7 linked regions of the Macaca fascicularis genome follow. The protein of the gene in region 1 purifies or fractionates together with the protein of each later gene. This does not show direct contact. Links are inferred from orthologs where the notes say so. Each region holds a gene or a part of one and is shown in the gene's direction. Other genes may lie near its edges. The genes, in order: MTA2, ZNF512B, CHD3, PARP1, SIN3A, KPNA2 and BCL11A.

Region 1 (4,064 bases):
GAGGGGTGGGGGACAAGGTGGAGCCCAGTTTGGGCTCGGAACGCTGGGCGTGTGTCATTGGGTGAGAGTCCAGAAACCTGAAGATCCAGCCCAGGAGGCCCCTCCGGCCCTCGGGACCGGGAAGGCTTTCCTGGAACGCGACAGTGGGTGGCTGCGGCTGCCGGAGCGCCTGAAACGGTGTAGCTCTGGGCCGTGGGTGGCGGTGGGTAGGAGGTCGGGCTGAGGCCGGCCACTGTGCTAGGCGTGTGGCCGGACGGCTCCGATGGGACCGACATCAACTCCCTGTGCCGCTCCCACAACGAGCGCGTGGTGGCGGTGGCCGACGACTTCTGCAAAGTGCATCTATTCCAGTACCCGTGCGCTCGTGCCAAGGTGAGGCCGCGGGGGCCGCCGGGGTGGGACGGGTGGGCCCGAGGGCTCCGCCGCCACTGCAACTCTTCCCTCCCGCCCAGGCGCCGAGCCGCATGTACGGGGGCCACGGCAGCCACGTGACCAGCGTCCGGTTCACGCACGACGACTCGCACCTCGTCTCGCTGGGCGGCAAGGACGCCAGCATCTTCCAGTGGCGAGTGCTGGGCGCTGGGGGCGCGGGGCCGGCGCCTGCCACGCCCTCTCGAACCCCCTCCCTGTCCCCCGCCTCCTCCCTCGACGTTTGATCGCTGCCGGCGGGACCTACTGGCCTGGCGGCGTGGCCCCGCCCCGCTCTGCCCCGCCCTAATCCCCCACGACCAGGGGCCGACTCTTTCCTCGACTGACTTCGAAACATTCCCGACGGTGCATTTCCCTGGAGGGCGCGAACGGCGCCCCTGCACACACTGTTTAGACCCGCTGGTTGAGCCGGGCAGCCCCAACCTAGGCCTTGACTCCCGCTGCCTGCTGAGGGGCAATAAACCAGAACCAAAGTCGCCTCCCGGTGCTTTTGTGGGGCGCTGCTGGGTGCCTCCGGGGCCCTGTGGGGTGGGGACGAAGGAAAAGAGGCGTGCGGAAAGGGCAAGGGAGCGTAGACCATTTATGCAAATAACAGGCAAAGCCGCTTGCAAATAACCTGGCGAAGCGCTAAGGCGCGCGAGTCTTCGGGGCGGGAGGAGGAGCTGCAGGGCTCCAGCTAGGACAGAGTTAAGCCCCACTCCTCTCCCGCCCTCGGAAAAAGGGGTGGGGGGGTGCCGAGCTGCAACGGAAATAGCCGAGCGATTGGCCGACAGGAGCCGAACTTCTTCCGGAAGTAGCCGATCTGCGGGGTCTCGCTCTCCGACCTGAGCCGAGCAGTGGGCCTTGTTCTCCGGATCGGCCGAAGGTGTTCCGGAAGGAGGCGAACCCTGAGGCGGGCCGGGCAAGCCTTCCCTGCGGCCGGCAGAGCCCAACGACTAGTGGGACTCGGCGGGGGTGGGGGCAGCTGCAGCCTGGCTCTCGCCTGGCAGGAGCCGAGCTCGTTCCGGAAGAAGCCGAGCGGACCGGGGCCAGCCTCAGCGTCCCGGGAGTGAGGCGATAGCTGCGGCGGCGATAGCGCGGGCCGGGATGAACCGCGACGGCTGAGGCAGCGGAGGTGACGGCTGCGCGGGCCCCAGTGAGACTCCCTCGAAGCGCCAGCCCACCGTTCAGGGCTTTGCCTCTAGCCGAGCCCTGCCCCCGCGAGCCTCCCGGACCCCTTTGTGCGGCCGGAGGCGGCGGCGGGAACGGCCATGGCGGCCAACATGTACCGGGTGGGAGGTGAGTACCGGGCGCAGGGGTACAGGGTCCGGGGCGGGAGAGGTTGGGGTCGGGACCGGAGGGGCTCGGCACCGGGTGGCGCGAGGCGCAGCGTATGGGGCGGCATGGACCGGAGCGCGGACCGGAACCGGAACCGGGAGACGAGGAGCTAGGGTGCGGGAAACCGCGACGCGGCAGGGCGCCGAGACTCCTGGAGAGAAGCTGCGGGCAGCCCCGACGGCACTTTCAGGGCTGCGTCGGGGGCTCCTCGGGGCACGGAGTGGGCTTCGGAAACCGGTTCCGAAGGAGCTGACAGGGTGGGGAGGGAACGCGAGGGGCTGGGGCGACGGCTTTGCCACCGCGGAGGAGCCGCCCGGAGGTTTCCTCTTCCCAGGCGTTATTGTGCGCCTCAGTTCGAAAAGGTGGGGGCCCTGCGCTAGAGCGAACAATTACTTCGCCGCGACTGAGGTGCAACTCGTTGCTGAGTTGTGGGGACTGCAGGGGAACCCCTGCTTCTTGCCTGTTCCTTAAGGCTCACTTTTGAGTAATGGATCTGATTTTAGAACTAGGTGCGGTGGGGGTGGGGGACATCCTTATTTTCTCTTAGTCTTTACACTTTCACATCTCAGCGCGCTCTCTGCCTGAATCCTTATCTTCTTTTGATCCACTCAGGCCAACTTTCTCTCCTACTGTGGTGCTCTGCGTCTCTCCCATCTCCTCTGATCTTCGTGGTTCTCGCCCCTCCCTTCCCTTACAGATTACGTCTATTTTGAGAACTCCTCCAGCAATCCTTACCTGGTTAGACGGATTGAGGAACTCAACAAGGTGAGTGGAGCAGAATCCCTCTCCCTCCCTCCCCCAGTGGTCTCTTCTGAGGTTTCTAACTTCAGGTGGAAGAGAGGACCCTATACTAAGTACCCATTCATATTCATTCATTCATTAATTGGATGTATTCAGGAAAGGCTATTGAGAGCTTAGCAGGAACTTTACTATTCTGTCTCTTGGGGGCAAAGGAAAGGGATTTGGAAGTCTGTCCTTGAATGTAAGTATTTACTCATATTTTCTTGGGCTTTTTAATTTAGGTCCCTCCGAAACTTACTGTTATTTGTCTCTTTGTGTATTTCTGTTCCCAGATGATCAATTTTCACTGCTACGTTGTTTTGTTTCTGTTTTTGTTTTTTTCCTCCCCTTAGACTGCAAATGGAAATGTGGAGGCAAAGGTCGTCTGTCTTTTCCGGCGCAGGGACATTTCTAGTAGCCTCAACAGCTTGGCTGATAGTAATGCCAGTGAGTATCTTCATCCCTTTCTTTTCCCCCTCCCCATGATCTGAGGCCTGCGCATGTCCCTGCAGGTATTTCCCCTGGTAGCATGCCCAAGGCAGAGGTGTGAGTTTGAGGGTGGGAAATGCCTGGCCTGAGGAGGGAGACCTGTTTTTACACGTTGGGGTTGGAAGCAGGGTGGAGAGATTGTGATAAGGAAAGCCATGATATGGTTTGTGTATGAGAGTAGGAGAGAGACGATACGGTTTATTTAGGGGATGAAGACGGGGTTTAGAGAAACAGAATGCTTTTCTAAAGGGGGGCAGTTTGGGGTACACTGGGACAGTAGGTGGTGACTGAAGGTCAAGGTGAAGAGGAAGAGATTGTACTGAGAAGCCCGCATAACAGAAGCAGCCTTATTTTGTAATCACAAGGTGGTGAGAATACCTGGAAGTTAGAAGATGGCTGGAAGTTTTCTTGCACTTTTTAATTTCTCACCTTGCCCATTTCCCCACCTGCCACCCCCCATTTTACATCTTTCCCTTTTCATTTTGCTCTATTTTCATCCTCTTTAAGGTCTCATTTTCTTTTTTAAAAAAAAAAATATTTTCTTAGCTTCTTTTTCCTTTCCTGCTTTGGTTTTCTTTTTCCTTCCTTTTGTTCCACCTTTCTAAATCATTTTCCTTTTTCAGACTGCTCTGGGTGAGAAGGGGTTAAAGAGGATCCTGGCTAACCAAGTTCCCTGGCCCTTTAGGGTTTCCAGCCCCATCTGGCAGGGGCTGACCTTGGCCTTGTCCAATCAGAAGGGGTGTTGGGGGTGTGGTCCCCCTTGCCTTAGCACAGGGTTTCCGGAGCACACAAGCGAGGGGTGGAGCCTACTGCACAACCCCCCCTTCTCCCTGAGGTTGGGAACAATGCACCAATGAGCCTGGGCCTGAGGCTTTTCTGCCCCCTCCCACTTTGGTTGGCGCCTAGCCAGATTAACCCCTTCCACTAGGTTTCAGGGCAAGCTGCAGCTCTTTCAGGAGGAAGATGTTGGCACTAGCTTGAGAGGTGTTGTCCTTGAAAACCCTAGGAACTATTATTAGCCAAGTAGAGAATGAGGGATAGTTAGGGCT
Region 2 (4,077 bases), on another chromosome or scaffold:
TCCCAGCTACTCGGGAGGCTGAGGCAGGAGAATGGCGGGAACCCGGGAGGCGGAGCTTGCAGTGAGCTGAGATCCGGCCATTGCACTCCAGCCTGGGCGACAGAGCGAGACTCCCTCTCAAAAAAAAAAAAGAAAGAAAGAAAGAGAGAGAGGAAGGAGAAAGGGAAGGGAGGGAAGGAAGGGAGGAAGAAGAAAGGAAGGGAGGGAGGGAAGAGAAGGAAGGGAAGGAAGGAAGGAGAAAAGGCAGGAAGGGAGGAAGGGAAGGAAAGCAAGAGAAGGAAGGAAGGGAGGAAGGGAGGGAGGGAACAGAAGAGAAGGAAGGAAGGAAAGAAGAAGGAAGGGAGGGAGGGAGGGAAGGAAAGAAGAAGGGAGGGAGGGAAGAGAAGGGAGGGAAGGAAAAAGGAAGGAAGGAGAAAAGGAAGGAAGAGAGGGAAGGGAAGGAAGAGAAGGAAGAGAACGAAGGAAGGAAAGAAAGAAAGAAAAAGAAAGAAGAAAGAAAAAGAGAAAGAAAGACAGACAGACAGACAGACAGACAGACAGGACAGGACTCTCCTGGGGGAGATTCTTGCGGGTCCTGTGCTAGTCCCGTGTGGGGCCTCCTCCGTCCTCTTTAGGAGAGCTACACCTTTCTCTGCCTCATTCAATTCTCAAGTCCTGTGGTGTCAGTGCCCCGTCGCCTCCAGACCACTCAGCCCACACCGGACCCCAGTGCCCCCTGCAGAAGCCCAGGATATGGGGCAGGGAAGGCCCTGGCACTGGTTCAGAACCACTGCCCCCAGAGCTGGGAAAGGTTGACCCAATGGTCAGTGACCCCAGTAAAGCTCCATGGCCTCAAGCCACCAGGCACCGCCAGGGGCCAGTCGCAAAAGTGGTCTCAGGGCCGGCTGGAAAGAGGCTGAATCCTGCTTTGCCGGTGCACGGCCCCCAGGGCCAGAGGTCAGGGACTCGAGCCCAGAGACCACCCTCGCCGCGCGGGCCAGGATGCGGCGGAATCAGGTCGCCTCAATCCGTGCGCGCCGGACTCCGGGCAGTGCCCAGCGCCCCTATCGGGCCTCAGTTTACCCCACTGTCCAAAAAACTCCCCGCGCCCCAGGACGGCAGAACTGGCTACTCCGGACTGCGGGCCCGGCCGACGGGGGCGGAACCGCGGGGGGGGGACCACAGGCCAGCGCCGGGCCCCCTCCCCGCCCCCTCCCCGCCCCCTCCCCGCCGCGGAGCGGCCGCGGGAATAACGCGAGAGTTCGCCCCCTCCCCCCCGCAGTAAAACTGTCAAAGGTGGGAGGGGCGGGAGCGCGCATGTGCGCAGCGCGGCGCGCAGCCTGCGCCGCCCGGACCCACCGCCCCGCGCCCCGCGCCCCGCGCCCCCCACCCCGGCCCGGCTCGGCCCGGCCGCAGCCCCGCTGGGCGCCGCAGGTAAGCGCCCGGCCGTGCCCCAGCCCCGATCTGGCCGCAGCCCCGGCGCCCACCGCGCCCCGGATCTCGACCCCGCGCGCAGGCCGAGGAGGGGGCCGGGCCCGGAGCCCCCCCGCCCCCCGCCGCGCCCGAGCCCCCGCGCCCCGCGCCGGCGCCGTCTTCCTGCCTCCTCCTTCTCCAGAAAAAGTCGCCATTTTGGTTCACTGCCTTCGCCCCCCCACCCCGCGCCCGCGATCGGCCCTGCCCGGCCAGGCCGAGGCCCGCGCCCCGCGCCCGCGCCCGCTCCCGGCCCCAGGTGACAGGTGGGTGGCGAGGCTGGCCCCAGGTGCGCGTCCCTGGCCGCGCTCACCCTCGCGCCAGGCCTGGGCCGGGGTCCCGGGCCGAACGGCCTACGCGGCGGACCCGCTGCTGGCGTCTCCTGCGCGCAGCGCGGCGGAGCCCCCTCTCCCCGCCAGGGCTCGGTGTGCCCGCTGGGCTCGGGAGGGCCGAAGCCCCTTCTCGCCCGGGGCGCCAGTCGCGTCTCTACCTCCCAGGCCGGCCCTGGCCTCAGGTCCCACTACTCTGAATTCTTCTCCCAGGCTTCAGAAAAATTGGGGCCACCGGGGTCGTCAGGTGCTGGGATGACTCATGCGGACCCTGTCTCCTTTCAAAGTTGCAAAGTGAGGACTTCCAGAGAACTTTGTGCCCGGACACTGGCCTCCCCCTTGGCAATGGGCAGTGACTGTCCTGACCTCTGACCTCAGCTCTCTGGCCCTCCTGGACACAGCAGCCCCTTCCCATCCCCTCTGATCTAAGTTAATTAGAAGGTATCAGGAGGGGGCCACCTGCCCACCCAGCCCTCACCCTGCTTCCTGTCCCACCTCTTTCCGTGGCTTTTCCACAGGGCTGAGCCCAGAGTCTCCTCTGCTCCCCAGCTCTCAGGATGGGGTTCCCAGCAGCACAGGACCTCGGGGGGGCCCAGCGTTGGGCAGCAGGGCATTCTCTCTGGCCAGCAGCCTGGGCCTTCACTGCTAGTGCTTCCACTACTTGTTTGGCTGAGGTGGTGGTAATGGGTCTGTGGGCAGGGGACTGAGAGTTCCAGAGAGAGATTGGGGGCGGGTCAGCCTGCCAGGCCCGCAGACAAGTCTGTGAAGAGGGTCGGGGGGATAGCTCAGCCAGAACAGAGACAGAAGCCTGGTGCAGGGCTGGAGTGGGCTGGGGGTCCTCAGTGCCCACCTTGGCTGTTTTCCATCTGTGTCTGGAGAGAAGATTCCAAGGGTACCTGCCTGGGTAGGTTGGCATTGCATCAGGTCTGCATGGGAGGGTACCAGGGCCCCAGTGAGAAGCTGTGCCCCCACTGCTGGGCCCGGGCAGCTTGTGAGCCAGCAGCCATCATCGGAGACATAATTGTCCCCTGGAGGAATGTTGCCAGCCTCCTTCCTCCTGCACAAGGCACCTCTCCCGGGGGCACACCCCTCCCAGCATCACCTCCAGCATCATCTCTGCAGCTATGGGGCTGTGTGTTGGGAAGGGGATCTGGAAGCTGGTGAGGGTCTCAGGACAGGACTAGATCCTTCCAAACTGATGACGCCTCCTGGGTTATCTGGGGAGACCTTGGCTGGCAGCCCCTCCCCTAAGTCAGAACCCCCCATCACTTGCTTTTCCCACGTGAACAAAACCACAGGAGGGCAGGCCCCTCTTCCCTGACCAGCGAGGACCTGCCAAGGGCGGGGCTCCAGGGCAGCCTCACTACGTGTTCTGAGTGGGGCCCGTCAGGCCTCACAGATTGTCTACTTGCTCCGCAGAGATGACGGATCCTTTCTGCGTTGGAGGCCGTCGGCCCCCGGGGTCCAGCAAGAGTGGTCCCGGGAAGGATGGCAGTCGAAAGGAGGTCCGACTTCCAATGCTGCATGATCCACCGAAGATGGGTAAGAGGAGTCAGGGCCAAAGTCAATTCTGGGCATGGTTCTGGGCAGCAAGGGGTAGGAGTGGGCCACGGCCCCGGGCATCCTGTCTCCAGGTACCCAGCTAGGCCCCTTGAGTTCCCAAGGACCTTACCAGGGGAAGGGTTGCCTTGGACATCGCCCAGGGCCCTGGGTTCTTGTCCTCAGCTGGCCACAGCCCCTGCTCCCGGTGCCCTGGTGTTGGGACAGTGGCGCTCACTGTGGGCCTGTGCAGCCCCCAGTGGTAGACAGTGCTACAGCTTCCGAGCCTTGCTGTGTTATGTGCTGCAGGGATGCCGGTGGTCCGTGGTGGACAGACAGTGCCTGGCCAAGCCCCTCTCTGCTTTGACCCAGGAAGTCCAGCCAGCGACAAGACAGAAGGGAAGAAAAAGGGGCGGCCAAAAGCCGAGAACCAGGCCCTCCGAGACATTCCTGTGAGCTCCCTCAGGGCCATGGTGGGGCTCATGCTGGGGTCTCCCTGTCCAGCCACTGCCCTGCCCTGATTTGTCCTCTGCACATCTGGTACCAACTCTGTGCCTCAAGGTGTGGGCACTGGCCTGGCAGGCTTCATGTGGTCTGGCTTTATATCTGGTGTGCCGGGAGATTCTGGGCTCCTAGAGCAGGTCTTGTGCATGGCCCCTGCTGGGTGGCTTGAATTCCCACTGCAGTCCGATGTTGAGGGGCTCATGTGGTGTGTGCACCCTGCAGGCCCAGGGAGGGCTCTGAGTGTGGGGCTCGGGCT
Region 3 (2,600 bases), on another chromosome or scaffold:
TCCATCAGAATCCTATACAATATGGAAAAACATCTTGCTAGAACACAGTCGTCACCCTTGAGTGAGTCTGCCTGCCTGTGTATCCTACCCTCAGTAGCTGTGGAGTGTGGCTCCTAATGTCTCCCCTACAGCTTCTTTCCTCTCACAGACTATGAACTAACTCCAACTTCTGCTTACTCTCTGTTCCAGGCCTTCCCCCCGGGTCCCTACGCTACACCTCCGGGGTACGGGGCGGCCTTCAGCGCCGCACCCGTAGGGGCCCTGGCCGCCGCAGGCGCCAATTACAGCCAGATGCCTGCAGGGTCCTTCATCACAGGTCAGCTGGTGTTTTCCTACCCCCTGCTACTCACACTCCTCCTTTGCCAAACTTTATTTCTGCTCAGCTGCCCTTTAACTGCTCTAGTCCATCTCATTTCCTTGGTGGTATCTGGTGTTTTATGGGATAGAGTTGTTCTAGGCTGTCCCCCCATCCCTTTCTTAACCCCTCTTTGATCTCCTTTATCAAAAACCAGAGTTTTAGTAGATCTGTGACTTGGTGTCTTCTACCCAAGCCACCTCCCTCCAGGTTCCTTCAAGGGAAAGTGAATATGAAACCCGAGGGGTATAGAGTGGGAACACGTGTTCAATCATGTAACACAAAGTGGAATCTCAGGGAAAGGGGTTTGCCCTTGTCTTCCCACCCTTACCTGGGGCAACTGGAAGTGGCAGGAGGTGGCCTAGAAGTGAGAATTCACCACTGTCATGAAGTGATGTTTGGGAGTGATGTGGGAATTGATCTTTCCTTACCACTTTCCCAAACAGCCGCCACCAACGGCCCTCCAGTGCTGGTGAAGAAGGAGAAGGAAATGGTGGGGGCGTTGGTGTCAGACGGGCTGGATCGGAAGGAGCCCCGAGCCGGGGAGGTGATCTGTATAGACGACTGACTGGATCCCAGGCCTGCCCTTCACCCAGGCCCCGTCCCCGAGGCCGACCCCCAGCTCAAGCGCTGGGGCCTGCTGCCAGCCCTCCACCTTCCCCACCCCTTGGGCCATCACTGGGCTAGGAACCCCTTTGCCCCTCTCTGCAGCTCCTCTCTTCAAGAAGGGCCCTTTGTCTTTCTCCACTCCCACGCGCCTTTCCCACCAAGCCTTGAAGACTGTGCTGGTGAGAAGAGGTCTGGGTGGGAGACGGCTGGCAGGGTCTTCCAAGTACCTTCCTCCCCCACCGCCAAGTATACACAACTTCCCAGTAAATGGTTGTGGGGAGGCAAGAGGTGGAGCCTCCCCAGCTGTTTCCCTGCAGAATCAGCTCCATCTCATGCAGAAGTGGAGAATTAGCCTTGCCTGGCCTTTAGGAACTTTTGCGGGGAAGAGAGCTTTGAAGAGAGGAGGGGGACTTTTAGAGAGGGATGAAAATGAGTCCTGGGAGGGAGGAAGGGACGAGGAGGGGTGGCTGCATGTTACCGTTCCCTACCTCTCCCCACAATGAGGGTGGAGCAGTTATGAGGGAGGAAGTCAATTGCTGTTCAGCCTCAGAATAAAGGCGCCGTTCACTGGCTCAGTTACCTCCTGTGTACCGGCATCTTGTGTTGGGAATGTTCCCCCCTCCCTAGGGACCAAGGACCACCCCTACAAAGAGTAATGGTTGGGTGATACTCCCTCAAGCCAAAGAGGAGCTCCCCAACCTGTTCTAGGGACCCAGGTCACCTAGAAGGGTGGGAGAGAATACAATGGGCCAGACGGCGGTGGCGGGGAAGCCCCCAGCTCTGGGGCTTAGGTTCCTGAAGACTTCTACTACCCTCCCTCCTCAAGGCCTAGATACAGACTAAATTTGCGTTAAGTCAGGCAGGGGACCTAGTCAGGGTCTTGGGAGCTACCTTGTCACTGGGACCAGAGCAAAGTAGTGGAGGGCAGGCAAGGGAAATGTGGGCACATCCCCCCTCCCAGGAGGGGCCAGGGAGAGTGGCAGTTTGCATGGCGAACCCCCCACTTCCTCTTTGCTGCCCCTTCACTTTCTTGCTGCCCCCTTCCCAGTCTCTCTTCACACCCACTCCTGGTCTGTCCTGATCCCCTCTTCTGTATCAGGTTTATTGGTTGTACATATAAATTATACTTTCCTTTCTGTGTGCTCTGTTATTTTTTATAGGGGGGGGAGTTTTGGGGGGAGGGATAAGAAAAGTTGTTGCTTTCTGCCTTTTTTAAAAAAAATCTTACGACTTTTTCCTTTTCCTCATTTTTATCTCTTGGATTATTCACTAAAACTGAGGTTCTTCCAGCTCCAACTATGTGATGGGCTCAGTGTAGAGAAGGAGGGTGAGCAGCAGATACTACATGGCCTCAGGTTGACTTCAGAGAGAGTGGGACTTACTGGACAGAAATGTAGTGGGAGGAGTGCCTAGCAAGATTCAAAACTGCCTTCCAGCCATCCTTTTGATCATCCTTTCCACCTTCAAGTTGCACTTTAGTTCCCCTAAGAGTCAGTAGAGGTCACTACAGCTCCACAGGTTCAGTTCCAGTATGAAGCAAAGGCACACTTTTTTTTTTTTAAAGGAGTTGAGGGTCAGATCTGTCTAGCTTACCAAAGATTTGAACTGCTAGGCACTTCCTTGATGTTTATTGCTC
Region 4 (3,500 bases), on another chromosome or scaffold:
CTTATTCTCTGTTTACAATTCTGAAGACTTTTAATTAAAAGACAGTGAGGTAGACCAGCATTCCTAGGTTTTCTGAACTTTGAATATAAATATGAAAATAAAACATAACTAGTCTCATCTATAATACTCAGGTTTACTTAGCATAGATTACGTCAGCTATTTGACAGCTGCTTGTTAGGCTTGTGCACTGAGCCAGGGATAATTTTAATTGCACATCATAGCTGTGACTTCCTCTGGCCCATTGTGTTTTAACTCATGCTGAGCTGGACTCTCTTCCAGGAGCCAGTTGCTTGTTCTGGAAATGCCCTGCTCACTGACAGTGAGCCCCATATTCCAGCTTCCCTGATATCCCAAAACATAGAATTTTAAGACAAAAAGGAACCCTGAGCCCAAGTAGATGAAGAGGAAAGTGGAGCCACTGGCCCAGGATCTGCCCAGCCCACGGGCCTGGGACACAGGCTCTCGGTCATGCCTGGCTTCCTTTGAGGAGTGTGGTGTTGAGCTGTGCATCGACTGAGCCTGAGCATTCCTCCTCTGTAGCTCTCCTGGGGTCTCCTTTGTGCTAATCCCAAGATTCTGTTTACCCAGGTGGTTGGCAGAGATTCTGAAGAAGCCGAGATCATCAGGAAGTATGTTAAGAACACTCATGCAACCACACACAATGCGTATGACTTGGAAGTCATCGATGTAAGAATCCCTTCTTCCCCCACTTTCTTCTGTGTCCTGCCAGCTTTTCCCTGCCCACTCCTCCAACCTGGGCCTGGGTAGAAAAGAGCAGTTTACTTACTTTAAATAATCCAAAGAAGTGACTCATTTGTTCAGCAGAAAAATTAGTAGTCTTTTTTTTTTTTTTTTTTTTTTTTTTGGCATGGAGTCTCACTCTGTCACCCAGGCTGGAGTGCAGTGGTGTAATCCCAGCCCACTGCAACCTTTGCCTCCCGGGTTCAAGTGATTCTCCTGTCTCAGCCTCCAGAGTAGCTGGGATTACAGGCATGCGCCACCACACCTGGCTAATTTTTGTATTTTTAGTAGAGGCAGGGATTCACCATGTTGGCCAGGCTGGTCTTGAACTCCTGACCTCAGGTGATCTGCCTTCCTTGGCCTCCCAAAGTGCTGAGATTATAAAATTAGCATCTTATACAGTAGTTTGGGGATGGCTTTTTATTATGTTTTAAAGGACATTTCCCATCCCCAAACCTGGTCTCAGAACGTACAATTATCAGAGGTCTAAGATAAAGTTCCTCAAGTGCACATCTGCTGCACAGTAATACTAACTAGCAATGGCTGGGCTCTGCTGGGCCAGACCTTGACCTTCCATCCCAGCCTTGTGGAAAACATTTTCTGCATTGCAGCAGACCTTAAGTCTTCTAGCCTTAGGGACAGCCAGTCATTTCTCCTGTGTCCAGTCCTATCTTTCAATCAACCAGAGTAACAAATGGCTTCTTTTGTCCCTCCCTTTGTTTACTACTACAACCAGATCTTTAAGATAGAGCGTGAAGGCGAATGCCAGCGCTACAAGCCCTTTAAGCAGCTTCATAACCGAAGATTGCTGTGGCACGGGTCCAGGACCACCAACTTTGCCGGGATCCTGTCCCAGGGTCTTCGGATAGCCCCGCCTGAAGCACCTGTGGTATGTGCCTGGCCTAGTGAGGGGTGGGCAATACCTGTCTCTGCAGGTGTCTCCATAAAGAACTTTGAGTAAGAGGCCTAGTTGGCTTAGGGGGATGCTGCCAGACATCCTTTCTTTAGGCCTTCACCCTTTTATCCTCCTGACCCTGATCCTGTCAGGAGTTTCAAACACAGTTTCTGGAACAAAGGAGATAGAGCATCCAGGCCAGGGCCTGCTGCAAATGCTAATTGGGTGTGTTGATGAGCAAAGAACAGACACGTGGCTACAGGCCAAGCTGAGTCCAGGCCTACCTCTACCACTTCCCAGCCGGGCCACCTCTTGAGTGTCAGTGTCTTCAGCAGGAAAACGTAGTGATAAATAAGTAAGGCTTTACCCAGACACGAGGGGTCGTGATGCCACCTGCTGGATTCTAGATGGGTCCAGCTGGACAGGGCCTTCCAAGCCTCTAGTTTCACAGTTGTAGAACGAGGAGGAGAGTGGTTTAAATGATGCTCTCTGGTGCTGTGCAGTAGTGTATAATGGGCAAATGGCCTACCCTTTGTGAACCTTGTGTTTCACTTACAAAAGGGAATAAAAATACCAGTCTGCGTTCCTTGGGTGTTGACAGGCACTAGTTTAAGTAACATTGATGAGCTCATTCCATCCTCACAGCAGCTCCATGAGATTATGTTCCCCACTTAAAAGAGGCAAGTAGAGTCCAGAAAGGTTACATAGCTTCTTGCAGCTCCTTGGCACCTGGCAGAGCTAGGATCTGAGCAGCCTGGCTTGTGAGCTAAAACTTTGGTGTTTCCTCAGCATGGGCATTGTGAGAATTAGAAGTGATGGATTGCAGCACTTAGCTGGGTGGCTTGCTCATGTTGGCACTCAGTGAACAGCTGCTCCTAATTTCCCATCAGAAGATTCTCAGCTGTCCCTTTTCCAACCTTCCAGACAGGCTACATGTTTGGTAAAGGGATCTATTTCGCTGACATGGTCTCCAAGAGTGCCAACTACTGCCATACGTCTCAGGGAGACCCAATAGGCTTAATCGTGTTGGGAGAAGTTGCCCTTGGAAACATGTGAGTAAACCTGGCTCTGGGACCGATGGCATTTCATGGGGACAGATGGAATGGGCTATAGGCAGAACTCCCTTTGGCTGGGAGAGTGGAAATTCCCCACTACAGTTACTGGACCTGCCAATTAGGATTCTTTTCTTGTAAATAACAGAATCCAATTCAAGTTAAGGGAACAAGGGAGATACAAGGATACTTCAGGAAATGCAAGGGCAGGAACGCAGCCAGGCCTCCAGAGCTGGCAGTGTCTTCTCTCCACGGACTGGGAAGCAGAGAGATTGAGTTGCACAAAGGATGATCCCCCATGGCCTCCTCCTCCACTCAGCAGTGTTTCAGTTTTCTTAGACCAACCCAAATAGAACTGGAATCTTAATCCCACTTCCAGATTCTCCACAGAGAAAGATCTGATTAGTCCAGCTTGATTTGGACATCCACCCTAGTCCTGTGAACTGTAACCAAAAGCACAGGGTCATGTAAATGGCCAGGGGTCTGGGGACTGTGGAATGTGGACGGAAACCCAGAGCTGCCGTTCACCACTCCATATAGGGCCTTTCCTTGAAAATGGCCCCATAGCAGTGATCGCTGGGCACAGACTATGTTCAGCCGCAACCGCAGCTTCAGGTTCTGGAGCAGTTCCAGAAACTCGGGAGGAAGCCTGAGCAGTTAAGATGGTCTGGGTTTTGTGGGCTTTTATCTCATCTCTATATCTGATCTTATTCTCCTAATCAAACTTGGTTTTGAGAGCACAGTGTGAAAGCCTCTTCTGAGCCCGTCCTCTTTTGAATAGGTATGAACTGAAGCACGCTTCACATATCAGC
Region 5 (3,500 bases), on another chromosome or scaffold:
AGGTGCACGCTACCATGCCTGGCTAATTTTTGTGCTTTTATTAGAGATGGGGTTTCCCCCAATTGGCCAGACTGGTCTCAAACTCCTGACCTCAAGTGGTCTGCCTGCCTCAGCCTCCCAGAGTGCTGGGATTATAAGTGTGAGCCACTGTGACTGGCCCATCAGAAACCTTCTTAAGTGAAACTGGCTTTTTTTCACTTAATGTCATTGTGCAGTCAGTGTGAAGTTCAAAGACTTGAATTGCAATTGCATGAGGTTACAAAATCGTGGAAGTAAAAGGATTCATTCATGGTACAAAATAAACCAATAGAGTTTGACAACTGTATGAAAAGCTCAGTGATGTATATAGATTGATATTGGAATTTGGTAACAATTTGTTCGATATTGCAAATACAATTTGGCGCCACCACCATTTTTATTCACCATTACGTTTATGGTGCCAGTGCAGATGTCAACACAGCAAAAAAGGGAAATAATATTTTAGTATTATTATGAAAATAGTTTTGATCTCACAGATCTCCTAAAAGGGTCTTGGGACCCTTTGGACAAAGAACTGCTGTCTACAGAAATACATGTATACAAAGATACTCACTAGAGCAATATTTTGGGGTTTTTTTTTTTTTTTTTTTTTTGAGACAGTATCTGACTCTGTCTCCCAGGCTATAGTACAGTGGTGGGATCTTGGCTCACTGCAACCTCCACCTTCTGGGCTCAAGCGATCTTCCCACCTTAACCTCTCAAGTTGCTGAGACTCTAGGCACACATCACCACACCTGCCTAATTTTTTTATTTTTTGTAGAGAAGGGGTTTTTGCCATGTCGCCCAGGCTAGTCTCAAACTCCTGAGCTCAAGCAATCCACCTGCCTCCCAACGTGCTGGGATTATAGGCATGAGCCACAACGGCCAACCTGAAGCAGTGTTTTTAATAGCAAGTTATGAGAAACAGTATAATTGTCTAGCTGATAACCTTTCTTCACTGGATGTTGAGGAGATTTAGCAAGCCTCCCACCCCTCAGGGCATCCATTCATGTGAATTATCTTCTTTCTTGTCTATGTAGAGTGGCACTAGTTTATATCATCTGGGGGAATTTTTAAAAATAGGCATTCAAATAATTTTTTGTTATGTGGTTCAGATGAGGAACCTCAGTTGAAATAAACTGTTAAGGAATGGTAAATTGGGGTACATTTTTCTGCAGCAGTTAAAGAGAATAAGACAAATCTGTCATGAAATGAAAAAATACTCATGACAGTAAGTGAAAAGTTGAGGACAGAATATATAGTATGATCCTATTTTGTCTTAGAAACAAATCCCAAAGCAGAATTATAGCTGGTAATTACATGTGTAAATTTACAGACGGAGGCCCAGAAGTTTCTCATTAAAACTCTTAACTGGCTGCATCTGCTAAGGCAAGTAGGGGATGGGTGAAGATTTCTACTTTTTATTCTGTGTACCTTTGCAGTTGAAATTTTTTTTGCAGTGAAACAACGGAACATTTTTGTATGTATTTAACAAATTGGGATGAGTACTATGTAAGCATATAATAAAGAAAACTCACTTGGGGGAAGTCACGGGAATCTGTGTCTGGATGAGCTCTCATCTTTCAGGGCTTTTCTGCCATAGGAATCTACGGCGGATCCGGAAATGTCAGCGTGGTCGAGAGCAGCAGGAAAAGGAAGGGAAGGAAGGAAACAGTAAGAAGACCATGGAGAATGTGGATAGTCTGGATAAGCTGGAGTGTAGATTCAAGCTGAATTCCTACAAGATGGTGTATGTGATCAAATCAGAGGACTATATGTATCGGAGGACTGCCCTGCTCCGGGCTCATCAGGTGAGAACCAGTAACTAATTTCTGTACACATCTGCCACCCTAGCTAGGAGCAGGGGAGGCCCAGAGTCTTCTGATTGTTTCTCTTTGTTTATGCAAACCTGTTCTTGGAGCTGAGACTTAGCTGAGGAAGTAGGTATGTTGGTTTGCTAAGGATGCTGTGACAGAGTACCACAGAGTGTGGCTTAAACGACAAAAGTTCTGGAGACTAGAAGTCCAAAGTCAGGTGTCAGCAGTGTTGGTTCCTTTTGAGGACTGTGAGGGACAATCTGTTCTAGGCCTCTCTTAGCTTCTGGTTCTTTGCTGGCAATCTTTGGCATTCCTGGGCTTGTAGATCCCTGCCTTTATCTTCATATGGTGTTTCTACCTGTGTGTATGTCTGCCTCCAGATAAGGTCACATTTGGAAGTACTGTGGGCCAGGACTTCAATATTTGATTTTTTGTTTGTTTGAGACAGTCTTGCCTGACACAGCCTCCCAAAGTGCTAGCTTTACAGGCACGAGCCACCACACCCAGCCAACATAAGAATTTTAGGGAGAACACACTTCAGCCCGTAAGAGCATATAAATACCTGGTGGCACCTTTTTAGTGAATTTACTCCCAGTATTTACATCTCAAGTAGTATCTGATCGTTTGCTTGTATGAATTCTACCTGTTTTTACATTCTATCTCAATTGTGAAACCTTCCTGCTGCAGCTGTGTACAGGGTGTTATGCCAGGCCCTGGGACTACAGCCATGAAGTTGATCAGATGAAGTAATGTGATGATATGCACTACCAGGGAAACAAATCAGGTGCAGTGATCAAGGGTAACTAGCATACAGGCCCTGCTTTCACTGGAGGAGGCTTCTCAAAGGAGGTGATGCTTGAGGCCTGAATAATGACAAGGAATTAGCCTGGTGAAGAGTAGAGGATGGGTGTTTTCTAGACAAAACAGCAAGTACAAGGCTGGGAGGAAAGAACATGGCATATTCAAGAAACTACAGACACCGTTGTGGCTCAAGGTTGCATGAAGTTAGAAGGGTAGGCAGAGGCCACATTACTTTGTCTAATAGGCCATGGTTTGGAGTTTGTTTGAGATGCATTGGGACATTTGACAAAGATAGCTTGGAGTGCTATGAGGAGAGTGGAGATGGGTATGTATAAAGTTGGAAGAGCAGAGACCACTCAAGGGTGCCCTTGTCCAAATGAGATTTGGGGACCACCCAGACTACTAGGGTGGCAGTGGAATTGCAAGAATTACATTGTAGATTTTATGTGTTTATTTATTTTTGAGACAGAGTTTCACTCTTGTCGCCCAAGCTGGAGTGCAGTGACCCAATCTCGGCTCACTGCAACCTCTGCCTCCTGGGTTCAAGCGATTCTCCTGTCTCAGCCTACTGAGCAGCTGAGATTACAGGCACGCGCCACCACGCCTGGCTGATTTTTTGTATTTTTAGTAGAGATGGGGTTTCACCATGTTGGCCAGGCTGGTCTCGAACCCCTGACCTCAAGTGACCCACCCACCTCAGCCTCCCAAAGTACTGGGACTACAGGCTACCACGCCTGGATGTAGATATAATTTAGATATTTAATTGACAAGAGATGGTATTGGATCAAATGTGGGGGTAAGCAAAAGGAGGACATCAAGGATGGTGCCTAATTCGTTTTGGGGTTTTTTGGTTTGTTTTGCTTA
Region 6 (3,500 bases), on another chromosome or scaffold:
AGTGAGCTGAGATCCGGCCACTGCACTCCAGCCTGGGCAACAGAGCGAGACTCCGTCTCAAAAAGAAAAATGTGCTTAACCACAACTATCAGGGAGAACAAATTCAGTTAACAATGGGAGTCTAACCCTGTCAGAACGTCAAAAGTTTTTTTAAAAAGTGACAAGATCTGTAGATTTCTGCAGGGATGGAGAGGAGGGTAATCTACATTAATTTTTGGAAAAATGGTAGTTAATGATACCGCATATATAGCACCATATAGGTAATCTGTTCAGCTTCTCTTAGATTCCAGAATGTCTCAGCATTTAGTGATTTACTTAAAAGGTTGTCTGAAGTTCTAAACTGTTGAATTGCATTTTAAATTGGTTTTTACACAAACTCCTTTTGTTAACCACTTTCAACTTTTATTTCTCTTTTTGTTCCCCTTTAGGAAACTACTTTCTAGAGAAAAACAGCCCCCCATAGACAGCATAATCCGGGCTGGTTTGATTCCAAAATTTGTGTCCTTCTTGGGCAGAACTGATTGTAGTCCCATTCAGTTTGAGTCTGCTTGGGCACTCACTAACATTGCTTCTGGGACATCAGAACAGACCAAGGCTGTGGTAGATGGAGGTGCCATCCCAGCATTCATCTCTCTGTTGGCATCTCCCCATGCTCACATCAGTGAACAAGCCGTCTGGGCTCTAGGAAACATTGCAGGTACTTGGACTTGAAGTTCTTTTGACTGAATGTATCTAAGCGTAATGAGTTCAAAGAAAGGCCTTATAAATAGTAACGACTTCATCAAGTTTTGAGCTTGCTTTCAAGCCGTTATTAGGAATGAAAGTGTCGTCTTTACAAAGGCAGCAGAGGGGCATCTAAGTACGTTTGGGAGTTTTTGCTGGTGCATCAGTCACTGAACATTGGTGGTGTTGGACAAGATAATAAAATTAATCTTGCCTTTTTTTTCAGGTGACGGCTCAGTGTTCCGAGACTTGGTTATTAAGTATGGTGCAGTTGACCCACTGTTGGCTCTGCTTGCGGTTCCTGATATGTCATCTTTAGCAGTAAGTTACTAACATGAATAAAGTTACTCACTTCTTCATTCTAATTTCCCCCATCTTCTCAAAAGACAGAACCTCTCATTGCCTATTTTTTTCCCCCTAGTGTGGCTACTTACGCAATCTTACCTGGACACTTTCAAATCTTTGCCGCAACAAGAATCCTGCACCCCCAATAGATGCTGTTGAGCAGATTCTTCCTACCTTAGTTCGGCTCCTGCATCATGATGATCCAGAAGTATTAGCAGATACCTGCTGGGCTATTTCCTACCTTACTGACGGTCCGAATGAACGAATTGACATGGTCGTGAAAACAGGAGTTGTGCCCCAACTTGTGAAGCTTCTAGGAGCTTCTGAATTGCCAATTGTGGTAAGTTATTTACTTGTAGATTAGGACATTAGTATAAAAAGCATGATCAGGGCTGGGTATGGTGCCTCACGCCTGTATAATCCCAGCACTTTGGGAGACCAAGGTGGGTGGATCCCCTGAGGTCAGGAGTTAGAGACCAGCCTGGCCAACATGATGAAAGCCCATCTCTACTAAAAATACAAAGAAATTATCTGGATGTGGTGGCACGCGTCTGTAATCCCAACTACTTGGGAGGCTAAGGCAGGAGAATTGCTTGAATCCGGGAGGCAGAGGCTGCAGTGAGTCGAGATCGTGCCATTGCACTCCAGTCTGGGTGACAAGAGCAAGACTCCTGTCTCTCAAAAAAAAAAAAGCATTATCAGTTGATACTAATATTGAAATATTACCTATTTCATACCCATGATGGGCCTCTTGTTAAAACTTTTAGGGTACAGAATTTCTGAAGTGCTGGGAAAAAACCAGCATCAACATTTTTTTTTTTTTTTCAGACTCCTGCCCTAAGAGCCATAGGGAATATTGTCACTGGTACAGATGAACAGACTCAGGTTGTAATTGATGCAGGAGCGCTCGCTGTCTTTCCCAGCCTGCTCACCAACCCCAAAACTAACATTCAGAAGGAAGCTACATGGACAATGTCAAACATCACAGCTGGCCGTCAGGACCAGATACAGCAAGTTGTGAATCATGGATTAGTCCCATTCCTTGTCAGTGTTCTCTCTAAGGTAATGAAGTCTTAGGATTTAATCAAGTCATTTTTAGTATTTATAGAAAGCTCTGCTTGATAAGCTTCTTCACGTGCAAGAATCTTGGGTTCTACTTGGAGTCCTTTGCTGAAAAATACCCAGTAACCCCTTTCACTTACAGTTGGATAGAACCTTGGTACTTTGAGTCATTGTTTTTGTGAAAAAGTACTCCTGGAAACTTATTCTTGCAACTTTCTGAAATAAAACCATTTCCTTATGTTTAATAGGCAGATTTTAAGACACAAAAGGAAGCTGTATGGGCCGTGACCAACTACACTAGTGGTGGAACAGTTGAGCAGATTGTGTACCTTGTTCACTGTGGCATAATAGAACCGTTGATGAACCTCTTAACTGCAAAAGATACCAAGATTATTCTGGTTATCTTGGATGCCATTTCAAATATCTTTCAGGTAAGACCTATCAAGGTGGCTTTGTTTGAATTTGAACTTGATAATAATCAGTTTACTATTTAGACCTGGGGGAGGGCAACTGTTGTAAGTTTAGTCACTAGTAAGCCACAGATTCAGAAAGCCTGTTTAGGTGGGCCACACCTTTGATTAAAAATGTGGCAGGCATTATCAAAGATGAAAGAGATGACAAGTGGATGATGGGACCTGAATCGAAGTCGGGCGTTTATGTGAACTCATCACATCTGTTTACTTACTTGATTTAATGTCCCAATTTCATACTGAATTTTGGTGAAATTAAATTTGAATGACTTGGCCAGTCATGGTGTCTCATGCCTGTATCACAGCACTTTGAGAGTCCAAGGTAGGTGGATCACCTGAGGTCAAGAGTCCGAGACCAGCCTGGCCAACATGGTGAAACCCCGTCTCTGCTAAAAATACAAAAATTAGCCATGTGTGGTGGCAGGCACCTATAATCCCAGCTACTTGGGAGGCTGAGGCAGGAGAATCGCTTGAACCCTGGGCCAGGGGTGGAGGTTGCAGTGAGCCAAGATCATGTCACTTCACTCCAGCCTGGCCGGAAGAGTGAAACTATCTCAGAAAAAAAAAATTTGAATAACTTATATTTTTCTTCTGGTTGTATCCCTAATTGATCCAAGCGTACCAGCATATGGCACTTTGTCATAGTGATTGGTGGTAGGTAAGTCCTACTCATCAACTTTAGATTCTAGAGATTTTTACATATAGAAGTTGAGTCTACAGGCTGGGCACAGTGGCTCACACCTGTAATCCCAGCATTTTGGGAGGCTGAGGTGGGCAGAGCACGAGGTCAGGAGTTTGAGACCAGCCTGGCCAACATAGTGAAACCCCGTCTCTACTAAAAATACAAAAAATTAGCCGGGTGTGGTGGCAGGCGCCTGTAATTCCAGCTACTTAGGAGGC
Region 7 (3,500 bases), on another chromosome or scaffold:
CCTTCAGGACTAGGTGCAGAATGTCCTTCCCAGCCACCTCTCCATGGGATTCATATTGCAGACAATAACCCCTTTAACCTGCTAAGAATACCAGGATCAGTATCGAGAGAGGCTTCCGGCCTGGCAGAAGGGCGCTTTCCACCCACTCCCCCCCTGTTTAGTCCACCACCGAGACATCACTTGGACCCCCACCGCATAGAGCGCCTGGGGGCGGAAGAGATGGCCCTGGCCACCCATCACCCGAGTGCCTTTGACAGGGTGCTGCGGTTGAATCCAATGGCTATGGAGCCTCCCGCCATGGATTTCTCTAGGAGACTTAGAGAGCTGGCAGGGAACACGTCTAGCCCACCGCTGTCCCCAGGCCGGCCCAGCCCTATGCAAAGGTTACTGCAACCATTCCAGCCAGGTAGCAAGCCGCCCTTCCTGGCGACGCCCCCCCTCCCTCCTCTGCAATCCGCCCCTCCTCCCTCCCAGCCCCCGGTCAAGTCCAAGTCATGCGAGTTCTGCGGCAAGACGTTCAAATTTCAGAGCAACCTGGTGGTGCACCGGCGCAGCCACACGGGCGAGAAGCCCTACAAGTGCAACCTGTGCGACCACGCGTGCACCCAGGCCAGCAAGCTGAAGCGTCACATGAAGACGCACATGCACAAATCATCCCCCATGACGGTCAAGTCCGACGACGGTCTCTCTACCGCCAGCTCCCCGGAACCCGGCACCAGCGACCTGGTGGGCAGCGCCAGCAGCGCGCTCAAGTCCGTGGTGGCCAAGTTCAAGAGCGAGAACGACCCCAACCTGATCCCGGAGAACGGGGATGAGGAGGAAGAGGAGGACGACGAGGAAGAGGAAGAAGAGGAGGAAGAGGAGGAGGAGGAGCTGACGGAGAGCGAGAGGGTGGACTACGGCTTCGGGCTGAGCCTGGAGGCGGCGCGCCACCACGAGAACAGCTCGCGGGGCGCGGTGGTGGGCGTGGGCGACGAGAGCCGCGCCCTGCCCGACGTCATGCAGGGCATGGTGCTCAGCTCCATGCAGCACTTCAGCGAGGCCTTCCACCAGGTCCTGGGCGAGAAGCATAAGCGCGGCCACCTGGCCGAGGCCGAGGGCCACAGGGACACTTGCGACGAAGACTCGGTGGCCGGCGAGTCGGACCGCATAGACGATGGCACTGTTAACGGCCGTGGCTGCTCCCCGGGCGAGTCGGCCTCGGGGGGCCTGTCCAAAAAGCTGCTGCTGGGCAGCCCCAGCTCGCTGAGCCCCTTCTCTAAGCGCATCAAGCTCGAGAAGGAGTTCGACCTGCCCCCGGCAGCGATGCCCAACACGGAGAACGTGTACTCGCAGTGGCTCGCCGGCTACGCGGCCTCCAGGCAGCTCAAAGATCCCTTCCTTAGCTTCGGAGACTCCAGACAATCGCCTTTTGCCTCCTCGTCGGAGCACTCCTCGGAGAACGGGAGCTTGCGCTTCTCCACACCGCCCGGGGAGCTGGACGGAGGGATCTCGGGGCGCAGCGGCACGGGAAGTGGAGGGAGCACGCCCCATATTAGTGGTCCGGGCCCGGGCAGGCCCAGCTCAAAAGAGGGCAGACGCAGCGACACTTGTGAGTACTGTGGGAAAGTCTTCAAGAACTGTAGCAATCTCACTGTCCACAGGAGAAGCCACACGGGCGAAAGGCCTTATAAATGCGAGCTGTGCAACTATGCCTGTGCCCAGAGTAGCAAGCTCACCAGGCACATGAAAACGCATGGCCAGGTGGGGAAGGACGTTTACAAATGTGAAATTTGTAAGATGCCTTTTAGCGTGTACAGTACCCTGGAGAAACACATGAAAAAATGGCACAGTGATCGAGTGTTGAATAATGATATAAAAACTGAATAGAGGTATATTAATACCCCTCCCTCACTCCCACCTGACACCCCCTTTTTCACCACTCCCCTTCCCCATCGCCCTCCAGCCCCACTCCCTGTAGGATTTTTTTCTAGTCCCATGTGATTTAAACAAACAAACAAACAAACAGAAGTAATGAAGCTAAGAATATGAGAGTGCTTGTCACCAGCACACCTGTTTTTTTTTTCTTTTTCTTTTTCTTTTTTCTTTTTCCTTTTTTTTTTCCTTTATGTTCTCACCGTTTGAATGCATGATCTGTATGGGGCAATACTATTGCATTTTACGCAAACTTTGAGCCTTTCTCTTGTGCAATAATTTACATGTTGTGTATGTTTTTTTTTAAACTTAGACAGCATGTATGGTATGTTATGGCTATTTTAAATTGTCCCTAATTCGTTGCTGAGCAAACATGTTGCTGTTTCCAGTTCCGTTCTGAGAGAAAAAGAGAGAGAGAGAAAAAGACCATGCTGCATACATTCTGTAATACATATCATGTACAGTTTTATTTTATAACGTGAGGAGGAAAAACAGTCTTTGGATTAACCCTCTATAGACAGAACAGATAGCACGGAAAAAAAATCTCTATGAGCTAAATGTCTGTCTCTAAAGGGTTAAATGTATCAATTGGAGAGGAAGAAGAAAAGGCCTTGAATTGACAAACTAACAGAAAAACAGAACAAGTTTATTCTATCATTTGGTTTTAAAATATGAGTGCCTTGGATCTATTAAAACCACATTGATGGTTCTTTCTACTTGTTATAAACTTGTAGCTTAATTCAGCATTGGGTGAGGTAATAAACCTTAGGAACTAGCATATAATTCTATATTGTATTTCTCACAACAATGGCTACCTAAAAATATGACCCATTATGTCCTAGTTAATCATCATTTTTCCTTTAGTTTAATTTTATAAACAAAACTGATTATACCAGTATAAAAGCTACTTTGCTCCTGGTGAGAGCTTAAAAGAAATGGGCTGTTTTGCCCAAAGTTTTATTTTTTTTAAACAGTGATTAAATTGAATGTGTAATGTGCAAAAGCCCTGGAACGCAATTAAATACACTAGTAAGGAGTTCATTTTATGAAGATATTTGCTTTAATAATGTCTCTTTAAAAATTCTGGCACCAAAAGAAATAGATCCAGATCTACTTGGTTGTCAAGTGGACAATCAAATGATAAACTTTAAGACCTTGGATACCATATTGAAAGGAAGAGGCTGACAATAAGGTTTGACAGAGGGGAACAGAAGAAAATAATATGATTTATTAGCACAACGTGGTACTATTTGCCATTTAAAACTAGAACAGGTATATAAGCTAATATTGATACAATGATGATTAACTATGAATTCTTAAGACTTGCGTTTAAATGTGACATTCTTAAAAAAAGAAGAGAAAGAATTTTAAGAGTAGCAGTATATATGTCTGTGCTCCCTAAAAGTTGTACTTCATTTCTTTTCCATACACTGTGTGCTATTTGTGTTAACATGGAAGAGGATTCATTGTTTTTGTTTTTATTTTTTTAATTTTTTCTTTTTTATTAAGCTAGCATCTGCCCCAGTTGGTGTTCAAATAGCACTTGACTCTGCCTGTGATATCTGTATCTTTTCTCTAATCAGAGA

Evidence for each region.
Region 2: the proteins of MTA2 (region 1) and ZNF512B purify together in Homo sapiens (affinity purification with mass spectrometry; 3 studies listed by BioGRID and IntAct, with this or other methods). This does not show direct contact. The link is inferred for Macaca fascicularis from reciprocal best matches to the Homo sapiens genes MTA2 and ZNF512B.
Region 3: the proteins of MTA2 (region 1) and CHD3 purify together in Homo sapiens (affinity purification with mass spectrometry; 8 studies listed by BioGRID and IntAct, with this or other methods). This does not show direct contact. The link is inferred for Macaca fascicularis from reciprocal best matches to the Homo sapiens genes MTA2 and CHD3.
Region 4: the proteins of MTA2 (region 1) and PARP1 purify together in Homo sapiens (affinity purification with mass spectrometry; 3 studies listed by BioGRID and IntAct, with this or other methods). This does not show direct contact. The link is inferred for Macaca fascicularis from reciprocal best matches to the Homo sapiens genes MTA2 and PARP1.
Region 5: the proteins of MTA2 (region 1) and SIN3A purify together in Homo sapiens (affinity purification with mass spectrometry; 4 studies listed by BioGRID, with this or other methods). This does not show direct contact. The link is inferred for Macaca fascicularis from reciprocal best matches to the Homo sapiens genes MTA2 and SIN3A.
Region 6: the proteins of MTA2 (region 1) and KPNA2 purify together in Homo sapiens (affinity purification with mass spectrometry; 4 studies listed by BioGRID and IntAct, with this or other methods). This does not show direct contact. The link is inferred for Macaca fascicularis from reciprocal best matches to the Homo sapiens genes MTA2 and KPNA2.
Region 7: the proteins of MTA2 (region 1) and BCL11A purify together in Homo sapiens (affinity purification with mass spectrometry; 4 studies listed by BioGRID and IntAct, with this or other methods). This does not show direct contact. The link is inferred for Macaca fascicularis from reciprocal best matches to the Homo sapiens genes MTA2 and BCL11A.

What each region holds. Positions count from the first base shown.
Region 1 is NC_088388.1:11,457,078-11,461,141, forward strand, and holds the start of MTA2 (metastasis-associated protein MTA2), read left to right. Parts: upstream 1-1,264; 5' UTR 1,265-1,679; coding exon 1,680-1,707; intron 1,708-2,443; coding exon 2,444-2,511; intron 2,512-2,879; coding exon 2,880-2,973; intron 2,974-4,064. Other genes in the region: EML3 (echinoderm microtubule-associated protein-like 3), read left to right, coding at 242-372, 453-656. UniProt on the Homo sapiens protein: May function as a transcriptional coregulator. Acts as a component of the histone deacetylase NuRD complex which participates in the remodeling of chromatin.
Region 2 is NC_088384.1:120,103,254-120,107,330, reverse strand, and holds the start of ZNF512B (zinc finger protein 512B), read left to right. Parts: upstream 1-1,277; 5' UTR 1,278-1,413; intron 1,414-1,569; exon of another isoform or gene 1,570-1,715; intron 1,716-1,991; 5' UTR 1,992-2,682; intron 2,683-3,197; 5' UTR 3,198-3,199; coding exon 3,200-3,320; intron 3,321-3,626; coding exon 3,627-3,769; intron 3,770-4,077. UniProt on the Homo sapiens protein: Involved in transcriptional regulation by repressing gene expression. Associates with the nucleosome remodeling and histone deacetylase (NuRD) complex, which promotes transcriptional repression by histone deacetylation and nucleosome remodeling.
Region 3 is NC_088390.1:7,978,855-7,981,454, forward strand, and holds the end of CHD3 (chromodomain-helicase-DNA-binding protein 3), read left to right. Parts: intron 1-189; coding exon 190-316; intron 317-801; coding exon 802-923; coding exon of another isoform or gene 924-1,042; 3' UTR 1,043-2,100; downstream 2,101-2,600.
Region 4 is NC_088375.1:84,279,744-84,283,243, reverse strand, and holds part of PARP1 (poly [ADP-ribose] polymerase 1), read left to right. Parts: intron 1-588; coding exon 589-687; intron 688-1,477; coding exon 1,478-1,630; intron 1,631-2,560; coding exon 2,561-2,688; intron 2,689-3,469; coding exon 3,470-3,500. UniProt on the Homo sapiens protein: Poly-ADP-ribosyltransferase that mediates poly-ADP-ribosylation of proteins and plays a key role in DNA repair.
Region 5 is NC_088381.1:52,597,009-52,600,508, reverse strand, and holds part of SIN3A (paired amphipathic helix protein Sin3a), read left to right. Parts: intron 1-1,621; coding exon 1,622-1,829; intron 1,830-3,500. UniProt on the Homo sapiens protein: Acts as a transcriptional repressor. Corepressor for REST. Interacts with MXI1 to repress MYC responsive genes and antagonize MYC oncogenic activities. Also interacts with MXD1-MAX heterodimers to repress transcription by tethering SIN3A to DNA.
Region 6 is NC_088390.1:74,467,001-74,470,500, forward strand, and holds part of KPNA2 (importin subunit alpha-1), read left to right. Parts: intron 1-428; coding exon 429-697; intron 698-949; coding exon 950-1,044; intron 1,045-1,144; coding exon 1,145-1,408; intron 1,409-1,896; coding exon 1,897-2,130; intron 2,131-2,378; coding exon 2,379-2,561; intron 2,562-3,500.
Region 7 is NC_088387.1:61,517,316-61,520,815, forward strand, and holds part of BCL11A (B-cell lymphoma/leukemia 11A), read left to right. Parts: coding exon 1-1,869; 3' UTR 1,870-1,871; intron 1,872-3,500. UniProt on the Homo sapiens protein: Transcription factor. Associated with the BAF SWI/SNF chromatin remodeling complex. Binds to the 5'-TGACCA-3' sequence motif in regulatory regions of target genes, including a distal promoter of the HBG1 hemoglobin subunit gamma-1 gene.